4 linked regions of the Arabidopsis thaliana genome follow. The protein of the gene in region 2 interacts with the protein of the main gene of each other region in a pairwise test. Each region holds a gene or a part of one and is shown on either strand. Other genes may lie near its edges.

Region 1 (4,572 bases), about 23 Mb from region 2:
CTGATGAGTCAATGTCGATATGAACAATTTTAGCTTTCGCTTTCGCTTTGCTAGGGAATGGGAAGGGCGGAAGGCCTTACCTTCAACCCCAAAAGCGAGCAAAAGATCGCAGTTTTCCAAAGCGTCAAGCGTGATCTGCATACACCATCGTCCCCTGCTGCTGAATTCTAAACATTTGCAAGGAAAAATCGTCGTCGTAAAGGTAAGAGCCAAGTCCAAACAATGCACTAGTTACAGGGATTCCTGTAAGTTGGACAAATCTGTTCAAGTCATCGATCGAAGTCAAAGAGCAACCTTTCCCAACATACAAGCAAAGGCTGCTTATAATTTTATCCCACTGTATAAGAAAACTTGAGGCTCAAGTCTTTTTTTTTTTTAATTTTCCAGTGGAAGTAAGACAACACATAGTTCGGGACTAAAGGGCCTGAGGCACGTATTTTCGATTGGTTGGAGTCAAGATGGACTATCTACATTATTCGATTGAGTGTAGAGTTGTGTGCAATAACTAATAAAGTTGAAGTTCCAGTTATTCTTATCAACTCATGGCGCTTGTTTGATAAGATGATCATCATCAAATATTCAAATGGAGGAATTTGAATAGCGAGTAAAGAGCACTAAGGGAAACAGATTGAAAAGAGTTTGAAAAACACCATCATAGTTCTTAAAAATCGTCTTACCAACTCAACAACATAAAATCCCAGATAAATCCAATACAAACGAAGAACATAAATCAGAAAACCAAAATCTTTGCCTAGATATAAGAGACTTTGCGATGACGAGAGCATCATTACTGACTAGCGCCAAGCCACTTGGTGAAGTTATCGAACTCGGTGTAGTCACTGTCTGAAATCATAGTCTGATACCAAGCCTTGCCTGCTGCTTTGATCGCTTGGGCCTCCTCCTACAGTAAAGAAGGAAAAAAATAAGATTAAGAAAAGAGACAACTTTTTGATCAGTCACGCAACCAGTAAAAACTATACAAAATCTCAATAAAGCTGGCGGTTCGAGTACACAAGTGAACTGAATCATGTTAATCATGTCGTTTAGGACAGCAGAAGTGTTAATGAAAATGACACAAACGAATATGAGTAACCGCAAAACCAATCTTAAACAATCAAAGAACCATTCCCAAATAACATCAAAGACCACAACTGATTTGCAATGCATATGACTCCATCAAGGTCAACACAATAAGAATACTTCATAATTTTTTTTTCCAAACTCAAACTAACTGTGAATCATGCATAGCACAGTAATGAACAAACACAATCTAAATCAAAAGCTTTGGAATTTGTGTATGTTATATCACCACCATATGCAATAGACACTCAAGTTATAAAGACAGGCATAGAGAAAAGAGAGCATTGAGTTTACCTTAGTGACGACTTTCCTCTTCTTCTCGAGCTTCTCCTTCTTAGCCTTAACCCTTGAAGCTTCAGCCAACAGAGACATTCTCTTTGCGGTCTTAGCATAAGGATTCAACTTGAACATCACATTAAGGTTCTTCAATGGATTCTTCTTCAGAACCGCTCTCTTGGAACCATCCTTAATCGGGTTCACCACACTCTGTACCTCATCGGAGTTAATAATCCTAGCAAGATCAGCATTCACCATCTTCGCACGAGGCAAGACGTAACCCTTCTTCTTCTCTGATGGTTTCTCAAACGAGCCATAGATAGATTCAAGCTTCTCAAAAGCAGACTTAGTCCAAATCACAAACCTACCAAGGTGACCACCAGGGGCTAATTTCAACAAGTTAAGCCTCTCAACGTGACAAAGCTCAACACCAGGAAGATTCCTAAAAGCTTTCACAATCTTGGCTCCTTCAGTTCCAAACACAACAAGAGGACCTTTCCTAGAAATGTAACGACGATTCCTCATTTTACCTTTACCAGGACGAATTCCAATACTGTTCTTAGCTTTCTCCGCATCGTCGTAAGCACCGATCTGCTTCAATACCTTGATCGCAGCTGATGTCTTCTCCACAGCTTCAGCTGAGTCGCTAACAACAAGAGGCATCTCAGGAACATTCTCGATCTTGTGACCACGAGCCATCACAAGAGCTGGAACAGCAGTAGCAGCGATTGCAGAAACAATCGCGTGCCTCTTCATGTTGACATTGACACGACGGTGCCAGCGTCTCCAGATCTTAGTCGGAGCAAACATACGACCACCACGACACATGTTTCCGAACGCTGCTTGACCGGCACGGTGAGTTCCACCACCAGGAACACGAGGGATACGTGACACGGCTCTTCCGGTTCCCCAGGACTCGGCGGAGGTTTGGTGACCGGCCTTTTTGGAGACTGCGTAAGGCTGACGGCTGTTGTTGGAGATTTGGGCGTGGACGAAGTTGACAATGTCAGGTCGAACTGGAGCAGTCATGACGTCTGGTAAAGTGACGGTGGTGGATTGATCGGTGCTCATGTCACCGTCAAGTCCTTGGACGGTGACAAGAGGTCGTGCGGCGGCTGAGGCAACCATTTTCGATTTTTTGCTGTAAACGAAGGGTTTGGAAGTGAGGCTGTGCGCTTTTAAAGCACATCATTATTACTTAGGGTTTCTTACAAGGGTATTACCGTAAATTGTGGAAATTTATACAGGCCGAAAGGCCCAATGTAGGTCCAGCAGAATTTCAAGTTGCATTTTTTCGGTTTAGCTCTGATTTGGTTCAATTCGTTTATCTGTTCTGGTTTGCTTTGATTTGATAGGATCCACCAATACGGTTCGGTTTCCCGACTATTGTTAACCGGGTTTAGGGATATTGGTTATTGACAATAAGAACAACAAAAAGGCTCGAGACAATAACATGGACGTTGGCATTTACTGTTAGCTGCCTTGGTTTGCTAGCTGTGTTACATTGCTTTTGGTTAAATAGATAACCAAATCAGAGAAAGTACAAAACACAGGAACAAATATCAAAAAGAAAATACCATTGGTAACCATTTTCTAGACACATTGACTCATATATATATATATATACCATTCCCCGGAAAAACTGGTTTTGACCGATACTGCCGTATGTCCCTCTTGTGTGTGACGCCTCAGTTATGTTCTTCTCAGACAACAACCGTGAGAAGCATCTGACACGATACACCTAATGCAGAAATCAAATAGCCATTAGGTAAGAGCCATAATAACTCTTTCGAGAACATGATCAGGCTTATAGCAGCTACGCTGAGATTCTAACAGTTATGGTCAATACAATCCGATTCACAGACAATTCTTACTATCAAGTTTAAGATCATGTGAGACGGTAACTACAGTGAGAGCTGAGAAACATTGAAGCTCTTATGCAGATAATTCTTACTATGAGTCACCAAGAAGATATATCACTTGTTGAGTTCTTCACCACGGATCCTGCACTAACAGCTACGAGCTTAAGTGTTTAGGACCTTCCTCTGCAGCAACAAAGTGTTCAGACTATTTTAAAGTTAGATTGAAATCAGTCCAGAAGTCAGCAGTTGATGTGTCTACATATTTCACAAAGGGCAACAATACTCCTTCAGTCATTGGAATGGTTACAGATGTAACACACTAACAATGAAATATTCTTATTTCTAACAGTTTATCCTTATTTAAATTTGAAGGCAAATAGTGGGACTTTTTCTCTCTCAAGTACAAACAAGAAAAGAAAAAAAGGTGCCTCACATGCTCAACGAGCATGAAAGTTATGATAAAAATTAACACTTACAGCAGATCTGAAGTCAGGGTTTGACAAGTTTACTGTGAGGTTTCTCATCAACAATTATCTATGGCCACTTCTTCACTATCCGTTCCAGCAACCTAAGATCCTCGCCTTTGGGAGCATGGGGATCAAGATTCCTCAGATCTTCGACAAAAAGTTTTGCCTCATCTTTCCTGTTTAGCTTGCAGTATCCATCGACAATGGAGTTGTAGGTGTTCTGGTTTGGTCTACAACCATGCTTGATCATGTACCTAACGACGCCGATGGCCTCCTCAAACATTGAGTCAGCTGCATAAGAACCAATAAACGTATTGTAGGTGATAACATCAGGGACAATCCCTGAATTCCTCATCTCTGAAAATATTCTAGATGCATCTCTCATCCGAGTATTTCTACAATAGGCGTAAATGACTGTGTTGTACGATATGATGTCTGGCTTGATCCCCTTAGCCAGTATTTCCCTCAAGATTTCCTCTGATTTTCCGAAATCTGCAGACCGACTATGCATATACATGAGGCTATTGTAGGTCGCCATGCTTGGTGTGAAACCCCTTTCTTTCATGTAGTCCAAGACTCCGTTCGCCTTTGCCACCATCTGCCTTCTTCCATATATGGAGACCATGGAATTTAATGTGGTTATGTCTGGTGAAAACCCTCTTTCTTTGAGCTCAGAGAATGCACGTTCAGCCTCTGGCAAAAGATCACACTTACTACAAACCAAGACAAGGGTCTTCAAAAGCACAGCTCGAGGCTCGATAACTCCAGAATAAACCTCTTCTGCTAGAGAATGCATCAGACCAATCTCCTTGCCATTTGCATATGCATGAAGTAGAGAGCAGTAAGTTAATTCATTTGGTTTGCACCGACCATCCTCCATCTCTGCA
Region 2 (5,974 bases):
TCTTAGATTCTTCCTCTGTCTCCTGCGATTTGGTCTCCAAAGTAGGACACGACTTCAGATACGAGGTCACCCACTCTCCGATCGTGGCTCCGGAGAAGGAAACAACAGTTTTCGAGGCGTATTTCGATCTGGGAATCGATGGGATCGGTCATGCTGATCGGGTGTTGAAAAGAGTCTCTGCATGTGATCCGATTCTTCCTTCGGATATACCCGATTCGAGATTTGATTTCGGAATGGCCGTTGGAGTCGGCGGCGAGATTTTACCGGAGACGCTTGAGAAAATGGTGGAGATCTGTGACGTTGTTGCTGTGGATATTCAAGCTTTGATTAGGGTTTTTGATCCTGTTGACGGAGCTGTGAAGCTTGTTGATTTGAAAGAAAGTGGATTTTATCACATCTTGCATCGAATTGGATTCTTGAAAGCTTCGTCAGACGAAGCTCTTTTCATGGATGTTGAACAAATGAAGCACTTGTGTTGTGTGGTGGTGACTAATGGTGAAAAAGGGTGTAGGATTTATCATAAGGATGATGAAATGACGGTTCCTCCGTTCTTGGCGAAGCAGGTGGATCCTACCGGTGCCGGAGACAGCTTTCTCGGAGGTTTGATTGTTGGGCTTGTTGAAGGTTTGACTGTTCCTGATGCTGCATTGTTAGGGAACCTCTTTGGTTCCATCACTGTAGAGCATATTGGTCAGCCAAAGTTCGATTTGATGATGCTTCAGGTTTGTTTTTTGGTCTCGTATTAGCTTACTGAATTGCATGCTGTGAGAGATTTGCAAATCTAATAGACAGTAGTAAGAACTTTTAGAGCCGATGATAGTGATATGCAAATGTCTTTAACATAATCCTAGCAAAAGAACTCTGTTACATCTTGCAGCTTACTTTCAATACAGCCAAACCTATATCTTGCGGGTGAACTAGAATCTGTATTTGATGTTGATAGGTTTCCAATCTGAAAATGTGTCAAATCTTCACAGTTGTTGTTTGAGATTCTGTCGAGTCACAGCTGCTGAGAGAGTCTTTTCTTGTTTTACTTCATTGTTAATCTAGGAGCAGTTTCATTCAACATAGGGTAGATGCAGGAAAAAGTGTTGTTTAAGCATTCACCGAACAATGTGGTTAAGCAATTAGAGAATTCAAAAGTATGGATCTCTTGATGTATTTGCGAGTGTTTCTGTGTATCTCTTGTAGTTGTATCTGTTGAAATGAGGGCGTTATTGGATAATAATTGAACCATTGGCTAGTGCAAGTGAACATTAAGCAAATTAGAAGATTTATAGCGTTTGTGTTTGCACTGCACAAGGATTCATCCCTTTCATCGGTTATTTCTATGTGACATATGTCTTTGTGATTTGCAGAAAGTCAAGGATGAGGTACAGAGAAGGAAGAAGCAGTGTAACATATCTAGCAGCCATAACAACGATCACAACGAGTTCCATGAGCGTCTAAGTCCAGCTCGGTTTTCATGCGTAGACTCTCAACTTCAACCAAAGTTATTGGTCAATGGTCACTCTTGTGATGATCGGTCCCTGTGAATACGAATCTTGAATCACCTTTTTTTTACTAACAAAGCTCTTCTGAGTTGTGTAAGCTTGCTTCAACACGTTGATGAATTTTGGAAATTTTAATGTATAAAACGCGTTGACCAGCGTCTTCAAACGCTCTTTCTGGTCGTTCCCGCAAAGTTTGTTTATCAACTCCGCGTTTCAAAATTCGAAATGAAGATGTCAAATTTTGTTTTAAAAGTTTTGGATAAGATGATTTGCTATTCGCATGTTGCCACATTATCTAGTTAATATAAAAACCAAAAACAAATCTGAGATAAAATTACGAAAGTCAACGTGGGAGATCTAATTTTGACTGGTGCATAGTTGAACCGGTTCAATATATGTACAATCAGGAGGAAACCGTGTTCGGTGTTTGATTCGTGCGCGTGGATTTAAAACGTGGTCACGATCAGGCGCGTGGATTGACGTGGCGATTCCGATTCCCAATCAAAAGTCTGGACGAGCAAAAAATTTCCTCTGATATTGGCATCTCCATTACTAACTCCTGATTTACGGTTAAAACGCCTCTTCCCTCTCTCCGACGCTTCTCGTCGGAAATCTGGGTTTAAGTTTCTTCTGCAGATCGGAAGAGATTCTATTGAAGCGGCGTTGACACGATTTCATCTATAATTGTACGATAATGAAGCAGAAGAACCAGCATAAGAAGAAGAAGAAGCGATCCTGCGCCGCGAAACCTTCCGGTGATGGAACGACGTCGGACGGGAACAAAAAAGATGTGGAGGAAGAGAGGAAGGACGGTGAAGGAAAGAGGGAGATAGAAAACGTTGGAAAAAATTTTATCGAATCGTTAATGGAAGCCTTTTGCTCGGTTTCAATGGAGGAAGCGATGGCTGCTTATAAGGAAGCAGGCGGAGATCTGAACAAAGCCGCTGAGATTTTATCGGATCTGGTGGAAAGCGGTGATGATCCGTCGACGAGTTCGGTGGCGAGTGGTTCTTCGGGTCAGGAAACAGCGTCTACCTCTGAGTATGGGGCAGGGTCAAGTTCTAGCTGTAGCGAAGATTTGACTAGAGATAGATGGTTTAAGGGAAGCAAGCAGAGTAGAGTTATTGCTGCTACAGGGATGGTTTCTTCTGTGATTGCGAAGGATTACTTGAAGCCAAACCCTGTGCGAAAAGAGTTTCCTATGATGGAACGGTCTAAAGAGCTCTGTGGGAACGGGAAAAAAGCTGCGGATAGAGAGAAAGCTGAACAGTTCTTAAGTTCAATGCTTGGAGATGATTGCGAGCTTAGCATGGCTGTTGTTAGAGATGTTTTGTGTGAGTATTTCTTCTTCTTAGTCAGTTAATTTTTCCATGGGAGAAGATGTTAGTAGAAAAGTATGATCCTTAATAGTTATAGGATTACGTTTTAATGTGTCCGCGATATTCGAAATATAGCCGTAATAATGTTATGAGGAGAGACTAGATTGTTCGATGAATTGACATGGAAGTATCTATTTTTTGTAGGTCAATGTGGCTATGATGTCGACATGGTAAGCAGAGATTGTCTTCAAACTTACATGGGGAAGTATTTAGTATATTGACAGGGAAGCTCCTGAAATATGCTGATACTTGCCCGACTATTTATTTTAAAGCTTAATAGCGTTTTCTTCTTAGGCTTTGAATGTCTTGCTTGACATGTCTTCTTCATCAACTGATGATTCATTGAGTGGTAAATGTTTCGGCATAGGAGTCAGCGATAGTGTAAGTGATTGTTTTTTTTGTTAATCTTCATAGATCTGTTTATTTTGTTTTCTTACACGATAAAATAAAGTGCAATCTCCTGACATTATTTAACAGCTGGCAGAGTCATCTTTTGATACTGATACTTCTGATTGTGAACTTTTCTGGGGTGGAGACTATAGTCAAAGGTACTTCTATTTGCTTCTTAGGCTTTCATCTTGTTATTGCAATTCACTGATTTTGGAATTATCAGAGTTGATTTACACGTTAGTTACAAGATAACGAGCTCTCTGCAACCTCTCCTTATCTTTTAATTAGTCCTTATCCTCTTCTATGAAAGAACAACAAACGAACTATTTCATGGTGGAGGATTCAGTTCATGAACACATGATATCTAAATTACTCATGAGACCGCCAAAACTTACATTATGATTTCTTAATTTCAACATTGTGGACGAGGTCAAAACTAAATATCTGGCCTTTTTTTCTTTTCTTTGTCTGAATGGTAGGGACTACGCAAAAGCTCTCATGAGTTCTCAAGATCCTTTTGCAACTACCCAAGGAATTGATGAGCTTGGTCTTCCACAAAAAGTGTTGGAGTCTCTGTTCAACATTCGCCAGAATCCTAAACATGAATCAAAGACAACGAGTTGGAGGAATGTGGCAAAGAAAATGCAGTCACTTGGCATTGATGCTTCTTCATCTAGTGGGGAAGAGCCTCACCCTAATACGTTTGGTACTTTACTATGGTTTCTTGATTTTAGTATTTGCGTATATAGCTGCAAATAGCATGCTCAATTTGCCATGAGTTTGCCGGCTTCGAGCTTCTGATGTATGTTGTTTTACCTGATGAAACACTTGGCAATTTTTGCTTTGGTGTCATTGGCATAAACATCTGAAGTTTTGACTGCTTGTTTGTGTTGCAACTCTTGAATCAATCTTTCTTACTCATGAATTGCATTACCAATCAATCAGTACGTGTGTTGCAGTGAAGGATGACAGTTATCATGAACTTAGAAAAGGTGCAAATGACCAGTGGAATGTTACGAAGTCCTACTATCAAAAAGTTAGTTTTACTTGCTTCCATATATCTGGCTCTGGTAGACTCCTCAACTAATGCATTTATTAATTGGTTTAAGGCTGCCGAAGCATATTCGAAAGGAGGGAGGGCTCATGCGGCTTACCTTTCTGACAAGGTGCATATCACGGTTTACATATATCATGGTATCATGGCATTTTGTTTGACAGTATGACAGAAACTTGTGTTGTTTTTCTTTTAGGGAAGAGTGGCATCTAAACAAGCTCAACGGGCTGATGAGAGGGCAAGCCAAGATATATTCGTTGCAAGGTTAGCTGTTTTGATGCATTATCAAAGTATGCTGATGCGCTTAAACATTTTGTGGTGGACTAAGCCATTGTTTATGACTATGCAGAAACAAAGGTATAGAGAATGTGGTAACCATTGATCTGCATGGTCAGCATGTTAAACCAGCAATGAAGCTACTGAAGCTACATCTCTTATTTGGATCATATGTTCCTTGTGAGTACTTAGCAAACTCAATTATAAGTCTTTTCTTCTTTAGTAGATCATCATAGTCAGATCTTGTCATCATAAAACCCGAGATAATACCTTCCTCCTAACAATTGTGAAATCATCCAGCCATTCAGACTCTACGAGTGATCACAGGATGTGGAGCTTCTGGGTTTGGGAAGTCTAAGGTGAAACAATCAGTAAGTTTCTTCAACGCCCTTTCACAGCAAAACCGGAGACAAGAATTTAGTATTGCAGTCATGGTATATGATTGTTATTTATGGATATGATCAGGTGGTAAAGCTGCTAGAAAGAGAAGGAGTTAGGTATTGTGAAGAGAACAGAGGGACACTGCTGATCAAGCTTGACGGAGGTAGTAGAGAGTTCAGTTTCTTAGACACAGAGAGTGACTCTGATGAATAAGTGATAACTAAAACTAAAGTCAGGTTTTAGCTTTAGATCTTAAAATTTATGTCGATTTTGTCTATATCTGATGCTAGCTCTCTGTTGTTAAGTAAATGTTGGGCAAAACTTAGCTTCCTTCTTTTTCCTTTCCGTATTTCACGTTATTTAAGTTCTGAAAACACTTTGTCTGACACAGACAGAATGTATATTTTTCGCTAACTCTTCTTTAGGAGTTTACTGATATATATATTATCGTGTAACTTCTATAAATTCTACAAATGTTGACAATGCAAAACGGCATAAGTGCAGAATTTTTGCTACTGAAAGACATTTGTGTATAAAGTCAGACATAGCTCGAGCTAGAAAGCAGACGAAAGAAATAAAGCCGGTAGAATCTTTCATAAAGTAACCAAGACACTCGTTTTAACACAAAAGTCATCAAGCACACTAGAGCTCACATCAATGGATGATCAGATGGAGAAAACTAGAGTTGTTGAGTTACAGGGGAAGCTCACCACTGTCTACAATCACCACTTTACTCTTAGGAGTTCCACTCTGATTTCCTTCAGCTTCGACTTTGTACACCACATCCATTCCTGTCACTACCTTCCCGAATACCACATGTCGCCCATCCAACCTGCAAACTTTCTAATCAGCAGACGGAAACAACATATCGACAATTCTATCCATAATTGAAACTCTTAAGCTTAGAAAGTAGTAACCTGCCCACACAATTGTCAAACAACTTGAAAGTAAAAGATAAGAAACTGGCTTTATGTGTTTGAAATTCAGATGATTCTGTACTC
Region 3 (6,582 bases), 940 kb from region 2:
AAAAATCATTACATATTTTATATACATATATATAGATGACCTGCATTGAGAAAACCCTTTCAAGATTTGGTGGATCATTCAAGAAACACACATATTCAAACTTCTCCAAAGAAAAGAAAATAGCAAAAACTAGAATGAAGAAGACAATGGAGGATCCAAGCAAGATCATGAGAAGGTCAATTCACACTTTCCTCCAAAACTACCACCGTGTCACCACCGCAGCCGCCGTGGCCCTCCCTTTCTCCGCCGGTCTCCTCCTCTCTCAGCCTTTCTTCTCTTCTTCCTCTTCCACCCTTCACATGAGGCTTAACATGCTCTTCCGCGGAGCGGGTTTCTCTTCTTCTCATGACTTCTTCAACATCTTAAGCCTTAAACTCTCACAAACCCTATCTTCCTCTTTATTCACTCTTCCTTTCTCCCTCACATTCCTCCTTTTATCCAAAGCTTACGTCATCAAACTTCTATCAAACAATCACTCTGCAGATTCCTCCTCTGTTTTCTACCTCCGGCTTCTCAAAACTTACGTTTGCAACTTCTTCTTCCTTCTCTCTGCAAACGCCTCTGCTTTTGCTCTGTTTTTCTTAGCATACAATACCCTTGAAGCCTTTGGATTCTCTTCAAGAAACTTCTACACTTTCCTCTCCCTATCCTCAGCAATCATCTACTCAATTATCATCGCAAACGCCTTTGTCATCTCTAATCTAGCCTTGGTTTCATCACCTTCTTCTTCCTCGGGAGGATACACAAACATCCTCAAGGCGTGTCTTCTGATTCGCGGAAGAAATTCAACAGCAATGGCTCTTGCTCTGCCTACCAATCTCGGCTTAGCAGGAGTCGAAGCCTTGTTTCAGTACCGAGTCATGAGATCTTATTACAATGGAGACAGAGATATCATATCCATAGCTCTTGAAGGAACCTTCATAGCTTACTTATACGCTCTCTTCTTGGTTCTTGACACCATAGTCAACTTCCTCTTTTACCAGAGCTGCATCAAAAACGAGGAAGATCAAAATATCGGTAGAGAAGACGAGTATTCAATCAAGATCCAAATCAGCGAAACAGAGAACACAAAGATACACATCAAAGGATCAAAGAACTTGCAAGAAATCTTGTGACTCTCTTGTGTTGGTTGATGTAATTATTACTTATACAAAAAAAGTGAAAAACTTTATGAGATTATTGATTCTTTAAGGATAATCTCAAGTAGCTTTCACTTCAAAGAAGAGCAAAGGTACACACACAGTAAAGAACAATCACAGGATCTGCAAAACTTTTTCTTCTTCCTCTGTTTCTGCTTTTCTTTATTTTAGTCTCTTTTTTTTCCACATTGTAAAGTCAAATATACCAGAAATTTTAATTAATGCAAATCTTGGAATTCACATTTGGTTAATCCTACAGTATAATTTCATTGCCGACAAAATATATTAATTAGCAATGATTTTGATTACTTCCTTAAGTTATGAAGATGTTGACTAGATTCACACTTTAACAAGAGTGAAGAGTCTTTTGTTTTTGAGCAAGGATAAGTTCAAGCAAAATCTTTCATTACAAAGAGAGAAGAAGAAATGTCACAATTATCTTTAAATAGACGGTAGAGGCGAAAGCAATTGAACTTTTTGTATTTTTCGTTGAATGAAAATCCTAATAATACATTGAAATTGTGTTAATGATAAAAGCTCAACTTAAAAAGACAAAAAATGGCTAGTGGGTGGTCTACATCACTAATCTCTCTACTTGAACCTCTTTAACAAAAAGCCCTTTAATACAATAGTTCAGTACTACCTAAAATTTCTTCTAATGGAGAAATTATGAATGAATCTAATTTACTTTTATAGGTTAAAAAGAGTGGAATCCGGAAATGTTGCATCTAAAGAGATCAAGAAACAATTAAGCACAAAAAGATGAATTTTATAACAAGCAAAATTTTGTAGCTTTCCAAACATACAAAACAATGTAATCATTCATGGTCCATATTTAGGAATTAGGATCAAGGGTTTATAATCCCAGGTCCGACCGACCGAATCGTATAATCTGGTCCTATCAAACCAAAATTAAAACATTTAAACCGGATTTTTGGTTGAACCGGCCGGTTCATGGGTTAAGCGAAACCTCTAGGGTTTTAATATTTCCAGAGTTGGTTGAGAGCTTCTTCTTACTTTTACTTTTCCTCTGCTCGTAGACAGCTTTGTGCTTGAGACGATTCCCAGTTTCTGCGATTCCAAGTCGAAGATATAACCTCTCCTATTTGCGTCTCAGCTTCTACAGAGCTTTTAGGTAAGCTCCTCTGCTTGTATGATTCCTTTTAATTTTCAAAATTCACTGCTTTCTCTTGCGTATCTGCTCAAAGTCTCTCCCTTTTTCATTTAATCGTTTCTCTTCCTGAAACATTCGAACTCATAAACTAGTTTGATTCAAAAGTTTTCTTGCTTTAAACTTGTGTTAGCTCTAGAATGTTGTTCTTTGTAATCTGTTTGTGACATTGTGGTGGAGATGATGAATGTTAAAGTAAAAGGTCTGAGCAGGTTATGAGTAAAGTGTGTGGCTTTTGATGTTTAATTTAGTTACGAGGAGTCAATCTTTGAACTTTATAGGAGAGGGCCCTTGTCCATGTCTTGAGCCATGGCATCTGTGGCTCCGCAACCTCTCCAACAATGAACCTGATTTGTGTGTGCAATCTGATGGGTCGATTTTTAAAGGCTTGGGGTTGCTTTCTATCATTGATTGTCAATCTAGAATTCTCCCTATATACATTTGTCTCCTTGTGCTTCCTTATCACCAATTAGCTACCCTCGTGATTCTGCACTGATCAAAGACCCTTTGACTGATCCACGTGAGCTGTTTTTATGAGATTATCTATAGGTCTCTGTTTTTTTTTTTTTTTTTTTTTTTTTTTTTTTTTTTTATGTTTGAAGCTTTTGACAAAGCTTGTTTGATGGTATGGTTACCTCATTGTTGCTCTATATTTGGTCCTTCTTTATTTGTTTCAATATTTTTATTGCTTAATCCACTGTATAATAGTTTCTCCTTCCTCAATTGAGTTAGTTTTTCGTGATTGCAGCATTAAAAGTTGTTAAAATGGCTGGGGGGTCAAAGAGGTCTAAAAGAGCAAGACTTGACAGTGAATCGGAAGACATAAGCGACCAAGAAAACCTTAAGGTATGTTTATGTTGCTTTTGTCTCGTTTAAGTTATTTAGATGGTATAGGTGAATTTATTTGGTTGAGGGTTCTCTATATTATAGGCCGAAAGCGACAATGAAGATGATCAATTACCTGATGGGATAGAGGATGATGAAGTAGATAGCATGGAAGATGATGAGGGAGAGAGTGAGGAAGACGATGAAGGAGATACCGAGGAAGATGATGAAGGAGATAGCGAGGAAGATGATGAAGGAGAGAACAAGGAAGACGAGGATGGAGAAAGCGAGGACTTTGAAGATGGAAATGATAAAGAGAGTGAGAGTGGCGATGAAGGTAATGATGACAATAAAGATGCTCAGATGGAAGAGCTTGAGAAAGAGGTCAAGGAGCTTCGTTCACAAGAGCAGTAAGATTTCATTTGAACTAATCATTTTTAAATACTGTTATTTCTAAGATAGTGAATTCTTGTATGTGTTTCTTTCTAGAAACGGTAGATAGTCGTATTAAAGTTTCAACTGTTTAATCTAGATCAGCAAGGATGTTGGCTAGATTTAGAAGTAGGTTCGAACTCATTATAGCAATTGGATTTATTCGTGATTAGTAGAAAATATATACGTTTAAAAGGAAAAGAACAGACTTTTGCCAAAAGTTTTTGTCAGATACTGTCTTAATTCGGTTGCATCATTTAATTTTAAATGAACGATTGAGAGGCAAAAGAATGTTCTTTGTGTAATATGCGTGTTCCTGGTATAGGGATATATTGAAGAACTTGAAGCGTGATAAGGGTGAAGATGCTGTTAAAGGTCAAGCGGTGAAGAATCAGAAGGTATGACCTTGTTCTGCGGTTTGCGAAGTAGTCTAACTAGAAATCAGTTGCAGTTGTATATTCCTATTTTATGTTAATGAAGTTGATCTAGAGCGAATTTTTGACAATTCTTTCTTTGTGCTCTATGTAAAGGCTCTTTGGGATAAGATTCTGGAGTTCAGATTCTTACTTCAGAAAGCATTTGATCGTTCAAACAGATTACCACAGGTAAGCTATGCTCTTCTCCTCTTCTATTTATGGTTGTTTGTTTCATCATACTTTATGACAGAAGGTACCCTTTTCAGGAGCCTGTGAAATCGTTATTTTGTTCAGAAGATGAGGATGTCTCAACAGCATATACAGATCTAGTTACTTCATCTAAGAAGACATTAGATTCCCTCTTGGAGTTGCAAGAGGTATGTATGCATAGGCTTGATTCAGTAATTGTATGCTGTCTCTTAGTGTTTTGTCGCTCTGCCACGTTTGTTGACTTTTATTATTATTATCTAAATATGGATTTCTACAGGCTTTGTTTGAGAAGAACCCCTCGGTTGATCAACAAGTGAATGGTATGCCATATTAACAGATAACATAATTATCATCACTATAAGCGAGGGTCAATATAACATCTCCTTTCTTTTTCTATCTGTCAGCAACAGCTAGTGAAGAATCCAATAAATCAGATGCAGAAGATAGCGATGAATGGCAGCGAATATCTGACTTGCAGAAAAGGTATTCAAGACTAAATGTTCAACTGTCCAGCTTTAAAGTTCTGTCCAATCAAAAGAATTCTGTTTAGTAAAGCATGATTGACTTCATTTGGAGACCAGTCTCATAACCATTTATGTTTCATCGTTAACACAAATTTGGTATTTGCTATGTAGAATGTCTGTGTTCCGAAACAAGGCTGTGGACAAATGGCAGAGAAAAACACAAGTCACAACTGGTGCAGCTGCTATTAAAGGAAAGCTCCACGCCTTTAACCAGGTATAGAAAGCAAACTCCGAAGATGATTTTGCTCTTATCTGGGGATCAATCAGGAATCTAACTTTAAATTAATTTTCAAAACCAGAACGTTAGTGAACAGGTTGCTTCCTACATGAGGGATCCAAGTAGAATGATTAAACAGATGCAACAATCAAGATCTACTGTTGCTGTTTTTGGAACTGTAAGTTTTTGCTTTGATAATAAAAGCATAAACCATCTAAGAATTTGGCCTTTGGTGGTCAATAGATCAGCTTCTCTTCAATTTTTCCTGACTTTAAATTTAAACATCCACAGGTCCCTCAGGAAGCCATGGAACCAAATCCAGAGGTAAAATCACGGTTTTCTCTAACCATAAAGAGTATAAACATTTAATCAATCTCATTGATTATCTTGATACCCATTCTCTAACATGTGTACTCTTTCTTGTCCAGGAAAAACAAGAAGAAGGAGACCCTGAACTTGTGGAAGATGCTGAGTTCTATAGGCAGTTACTAAAGGAGTTTCTCGAGACTATCGATCCAGCTTCCTCAGGTATAGTAAAGAAAAACATCCTAGAATCATTAGATATGAAACCCCCCCTAGCGATTGTTATGTCCAACAACTCAAGTGTAAAGAGTCTTTTTTATATTCTGAAATCTCAATATTTGCCATTGGCAGAGGCGGCTTTCTACGAGATGAAGAAGTTCCAGACGAAGAAGAGGAAAGTTGTGGATCGACGTGCCTCAAAGAGCAGAAAGATCAGGTAAATAAAACACACATAGTTTCACCTCTTGGAGGTTTTCTCTTCCCATAATTCTCTCTTTTGAATCATTTTCTTGTAAAAAATCGAAACAGGTATAATGTTCATGAGAAGATTGTCAACTTTATGGCTCCACGACCAGCGAAGATTCCTCCAAACACGGCGGATTTGCTTAAGAATCTCTTCGGTCTCAAGACCAGAAACGTTCAGTCTGAAGCTTAATATCAAACAAACCACAATTTTGAAACGCTGTAATAGATCGTCCCTTTTTCTGTGGTGTGTTGTAATACTACTATTGACACCGTTTCTATCGAAAGCCATATGTGAAAGCATCTAGTTAATTTTTGTTAAAATCCAAATGAAATTTTTGATTAACAACGAAACGAGTATTAAGTAACACAAGAGTTGGATGAATAATCTTCATTATGTAATTTATTTATCTACTTTTATTCTACTTGAAATCTTGATTTCTTTTCATTGGTTGGTGGTACTTGGTAGATATAACATCATAATTGAACTTGTCTTTATCTTCAAAAATAAAAAAAAATCACAAAAGTTCGATGATGTCACAAAAATTCATGTGGGTTTGTGGTTTGGAGTAATGAAGCTAAACGTAGCAAAGAGATCGTATAACTTTCTCCGGAGCTTGGTGTGTCGCCCAAGAAGCAAACAAATCGGATATATTTTCAATTATCCAAACTTATTTCTAAATTATCTGTCTTCCGAACTATAGATATATAAATAAAAACAGTTTATACTTGAGCGTCACGATAGCAAATTGTTATCTGAAGAATTTGCTATATATACGAATTCAAGAGGAAGAATCCTAAAAGCATAACAAAAAAAAAGCAGAGAAAGAATACAAGAAAAATGGCGACATGGTTTCACATCTTCTGCGTCTCTTTCACAGTC
Region 4 (4,393 bases), on a different chromosome or scaffold from region 2:
AGAACCTATCGAGATCAATAAGATTACAAGAACATACAAACCTTTAGTTTAAACACAATGATCGATCACAGAAGAAAGTGCTAGTAGTTGTTACTTTAGTATACGGATCAATTTATAAAACTGGCTGATGATCAAAATGAAGCTTCTAGTTTCACTGTTTCAGTCTTCTTTTGGAGATGGACGGTCATGATTTGTAGATGGAAAAAGAAGGACTCTTGGCGCGCCTTCCAGAAACCATCCATAGTAAAGAAGAATAATACAAATTTATCCAACAGATACACACCACGTGTCATTCTGTATTCCTCGAGTATGTTGTACCAACTAATCAAAGCTTCAAATGATCTGTGTGATTGTAGGAAGAAGCGACGTTCTTTTTATACTCATGCTTTACTATCGAGCACAAAAACGTTAGGGTTGATCGACATTTGAATTGGGTTTGAGCTTCACTATCCACCAAAAAGACTTAAGGGTTGATAGACACACTATGCCTTTAAACAGTAAATCAATCGACATATTGATCAATTGAACTTGATTAATGTTTCTGCTGGGGTAAACCAAAGAAAGCTTCAGCTTGTTTTTAAGTAGGTTCATAACATAACAAGCATCATCATAGGAAACGAAGGAGCAAGAGATAAATAAATGAAACTGATAAAGGCGAAGTAAGAAATGGAGATGTAAAAAAGTGAAACTTGTTCATAATTCAACTTGATATCCAGACACCCAAAGACAAAACAGATTAAAAAAACCAAAATCTTTTGACTAAAATATGGAAAGTGTTCCAAAGCAGACGAGATTATTACTGGCTAGCACCGAGCCATTTGGTGAAGTTATCAAACTCGGTGTAATCACTGTCGGAGATCATAGTCTTGTACCACGACTTGCCTGCTGCTTTGATTGCCAACGCCTCCTCCTGATGTAAGAAAAATAGATATTTCAAAGTGGAGTTAGAAAAGAGGACATATGAAGAACAATTTTCACAAGGGACAAGAAAGTGCTAAGAGATTCAATTGCTTAATAGCTCAACCTAAAATCAATATCAAGACAAAGAATCGTACACAACAGATTTACAAGACAAACTACTAGACCACAATTCAGAACAGAAAAGGTAAGATCTAGTAAAGAAAGACTACTATAGTCATAGACTAAACCAGAGGGGAACAGATTATTGTATAGCTTAACATACACAAACTCAGTCAATTAGAACAATTGCAATATAAGTTAAGTCAAATGAAATGCAACCACAGATCAAAATGTAATCAGTAACTAAACAAAGACAATCCAAAAACGGTTGATAAGAGAACAAGTCAAGTATTGAGATTACCTTGGTAACGGTTTTCCTCTTCTTGGCGAGCTTCTCCTTCTTAGCCTTAACTCTCTGTGCTTCAGCTAACAGTGACATCCTCTTCGCGGTCTTAGCATAAGGATTCAACTTCAACATCACATTGAGATTCTTCAATGGATTCTTCTTAAGAACAGCCCTCTTCGCATCCTTCTTGATCGGATTCACAACACTCTGAATCTCATCTGAATTGATAATCCTGGCAAGATCAGCATTCACCATCTTTGCACGAGGAAGCACATACCCCTTCTTCTTCTCTGATGGCTTCTCAAACGAACCATAGATAGACTCAAGCTTCTCAAAGGCAGACTTGGTCCAGATCACAAACCGACCAAGGTGACCACCAGGAGCAAGCTTCAACAAATTAAGCCTCTCCACATGACAAAGCTCAACACCAGGAAGGTTTCTAAACGCCTTAACTATCTTAGATCCTTCAGTTCCATAAACCACCAGAGGACCTTTCCTAGAAATGTAACGACGGTTCCTCATTTTACCTTTACCAGGACGGATTCCAATGCTGTTCTTTGCCTTCTCAGCATCATCATAAGCACCGATCTGTTTCAAAACCTTGATCGCAGCTGAGGTCTTCTCCACAGCTTCGGCGGAGTCACTCACAACAAGAGGCATCTCAGGAACATTCTCGATCTTGTGACCACGAGCCATCACAAGCGCAGGAACAGCAGTTGCAGCGATAGCTGAGACGATTGCGTGACGCTTCATGTTGACATTGACACGACGGTGCCAGCGGCGCCAGATCTTGGTTGGAGCGAACATACGACCACCACGACACATGTTACCGAACGCAGCTTGACCAGCACGGTGAGTACCACCACCGGGAACACGAGGGATACGAGACACGGCACGTCCGGTTCCCCAGGACTCGGCGGAGGTCTGGTGACCGGCCTTCTTCGATACGGCGTATGGCTGACGGCTGTTGTTGGAGATTTGGGCGTGAACGAAGTTAACGATGTCTGGTCGAACTGGCGCCGTCATGACGTCGGGAAGTACGACGGTGGAGGATTGATCGGTGGACATGTCACCATCCAAGGTTTGGATGGTGACGAGAGGACGAGCAGCGGCGGCGGCCATTTGTCTCGAAATGTTTCTCTCTTCTCTCACTCTCCGTCTCTTTAGACTCTTTGAGAAATTAGGGTTTTCTCTCAGCTGAAGTTTAAGAACTAATATATGCTAGGGTTTCGTTAGGGTTACTGCTGAATTAGTGGGCCTTATAATAAAGCCCAATAAACCCAACTAATTTACCTTTCAGTAAGGGCCCAATATTTAAAGTTACCTCCGCTATAAGAACCGGGCACTGCTTTAGCCTTTAACGAACTAGTGGGCCTAATAAAACCCGACTATTTGTCTCTTAACTAAGAGACAATTGACCTAAGTTTTACCAAATTTAAGAGATTTATCTAATATTTAAATTATATAATTTTTTAAATATTTGTTAAGAGTTTTGCTAAGAGTCTACCATTGTGGATGCTTTTAGAATCATATAACAAACATCGTCAAAGAAAACGGTCGACGAAAAAAATAGATAAAAAGAAAAATGATCAAAGTAATGTACGAAATGGAGCGTTAAAGAGTGAAAATTTGCTTTATAGTTCAAATAATCTTTAGTCTCGATCTTGAATGGCAAAATATTTCAAATCATATTCTTTTCCTAAATATGGAAGTGCTCCTAAGCAGGTGAGATATTACTGATTAGCACTGCCACCGAGTCATTTGGTGAAGTTATCAAACTCGGTGTATTCACTATCGGCTTCGTTTTCTATTAAAATGCACACCTCAAAATATTCAGAAAATCTTTACAGTTTTATCTCATTTTTAATCTAAATCAAGAATCGATAACAATATTTTCGGACCATAATCTGAGCAAAAGATAAAACACGGTAATAGTTCTTTTCGTTTGGTTATATTTTCATGTGAATACTGTAGTCGTTTGGGTTTTTGGTCCAGTCCTTTTAGCTTTCAATGCCTCTCTTCAAGTTGGGTTTGATATCCTTTTATTGGGGTTAGGCCTTTTTAGTTTCAATTTTTGAAATTTTGTAATCACCTAGATAGGTTTAACCCATTTTGTAACGTTTTATCTTATGATAAAAAGTCAATAAACAGAAAGACCTTTGGGGGAAAAAAAAAAAAAATTGTAGTCACAACAAATGAAATCCCAACCCACGCGCTGCAGGTCCTCTCAGTTTTTAATTTATGCAAAAAATCCCCAAAAAGGAAGGTTATATAGTCCATGGATTTTAGCCTCACGTGCTCAACGCGCCTGTGATGCGAGTGGTTTGGGGAATGAACTATAAATAATAGGAAATCATTCATGAGATGAAATCAACGAAATGAATAATTATTTTGAATAGAATAACCTTGCGATGTTGTTTAGAAGCCCATGAGGAAAATATCGATTAATAGTGGACCTAACTAAAGCCCAAATAGCCCAATAACTGGTTTTCACTTTTATCTTTTACCAATAAGGGCCCAACCTTACAGCTTTATTATCTCTGTTACTCGACACTAACGAGACGTTACAACGTTACGGTGTAGAGAGTTTTGATTCTTCTGGTAGCTTTGTCTTCTTCACCGCAACATTTTTAGGGTTATCGTTGAAGCTTTTGTTTGGCGGATGAATTTGATTTGAATTTGGGTTTAAGTTACGGAATTTTCTATCGGGATTTGTTGCGTTTGAGATGATGTTAGAGAAATCTAAGTCCAGGAAGGAAAATGATCGCAAAGATCGTGATCGCAGTAAGAAAGAGAATGGTCGGCGAGATACGACGGAGATGCGCTCGAGAGTTAAGAGATGCGATTCTGAGGAAGAGGAGAGGATACGGATACGGAGGGATAGAAAAAGTAGCGATTTTGAAGAAGAAGAATACGAGAGGGATAGTAAACGCAGAGGGGAGGACAAGGGAAGAGGACGCCGAGAACGTGACAGAGATAGAGGAAAATATCTGAAAAGGGACAGAGAGAGGAGAGAACGTGAGAAAGAAAAGGGTAGGAAGAAACAGAAAAAGGAGAGGTCACGTGAGGATTGTAATGAAGAGAGTG

The links.
Region 1: the proteins of AT5G58720 (region 2) and AT5G02870 interact in a two-hybrid assay, tested with the Arabidopsis thaliana proteins (one large-scale study listed by BioGRID).
Region 3: the proteins of AT5G58720 (region 2) and AT5G61330 interact in a two-hybrid assay, tested with the Arabidopsis thaliana proteins (one large-scale study listed by BioGRID).
Region 4: the proteins of AT5G58720 (region 2) and AT3G09630 interact in a two-hybrid assay, tested with the Arabidopsis thaliana proteins (one large-scale study listed by BioGRID).

The regions. Positions count from the first base shown.
Region 1 is NC_003076.8:655,742-660,313, reverse strand, and holds AT5G02870 (Ribosomal protein L4/L1 family), read right to left. Parts: upstream 2,640-4,572; 5' UTR 2,485-2,639; coding exon 1,375-2,484; intron 902-1,374; coding exon 788-901; 3' UTR 514-787; downstream 1-513. Other genes in the region: AT5G02860 (Pentatricopeptide repeat (PPR) superfamily protein), read right to left, coding at 3,753-4,572.
Region 2 is NC_003076.8:23,719,188-23,725,161, reverse strand, and holds AT5G58720 (smr (Small MutS Related) domain-containing protein), read left to right. Parts: upstream 1-1,986; 5' UTR 1,987-2,187; coding exon 2,188-2,827; intron 2,828-3,016; coding exon 3,017-3,042; intron 3,043-3,166; coding exon 3,167-3,253; intron 3,254-3,349; coding exon 3,350-3,420; intron 3,421-3,741; coding exon 3,742-3,968; intron 3,969-4,221; coding exon 4,222-4,298; intron 4,299-4,371; coding exon 4,372-4,428; intron 4,429-4,512; coding exon 4,513-4,580; intron 4,581-4,665; coding exon 4,666-4,772; coding exon of another isoform or gene 4,773-4,828; exon of another isoform or gene 4,829-4,892; coding exon 4,893-4,963; coding exon of another isoform or gene 4,964-5,053; exon of another isoform or gene 5,054-5,057; coding exon 5,058-5,186; 3' UTR 5,187-5,467; downstream 5,468-5,974. Other genes in the region: Mik (pfkB-like carbohydrate kinase family protein), read left to right, coding at 1-722, 1,359-1,535; ROC7 (rotamase CYP 7), read right to left, coding at 5,667-5,805.
Region 3 is NC_003076.8:24,656,597-24,663,178, reverse strand, and holds AT5G61330 (rRNA processing protein-like protein), read left to right. Parts: upstream 1-1,937; 5' UTR 1,938-2,843; coding exon 2,844-2,859; intron 2,860-2,947; exon of another isoform or gene 2,948-3,058; coding exon 3,059-3,156; intron 3,157-3,240; coding exon 3,241-3,545; intron 3,546-3,892; coding exon 3,893-3,965; intron 3,966-4,097; coding exon 4,098-4,172; intron 4,173-4,249; coding exon 4,250-4,360; intron 4,361-4,470; coding exon 4,471-4,513; intron 4,514-4,597; coding exon 4,598-4,676; intron 4,677-4,828; coding exon 4,829-4,931; intron 4,932-5,016; coding exon 5,017-5,112; intron 5,113-5,225; coding exon 5,226-5,258; intron 5,259-5,362; coding exon 5,363-5,462; intron 5,463-5,588; coding exon 5,589-5,673; intron 5,674-5,765; coding exon 5,766-5,892; 3' UTR 5,893-6,082; downstream 6,083-6,582. Other genes in the region: AT5G61340 (uncharacterized protein), read left to right, coding at 36-1,115; CYP89A3 (cytochrome P450, family 89, subfamily A, polypeptide 3), read left to right, coding at 6,541-6,582.
Region 4 is NC_003074.8:2,951,848-2,956,240, reverse strand, and holds AT3G09630 (Ribosomal protein L4/L1 family), read right to left. Parts: upstream 2,549-4,393; 5' UTR 2,429-2,548; coding exon 1,322-2,428; intron 911-1,321; coding exon 797-910; 3' UTR 503-796; downstream 1-502. Other genes in the region: AT3G09620 (P-loop containing nucleoside triphosphate hydrolases superfamily protein), read left to right, coding at 4,033-4,393.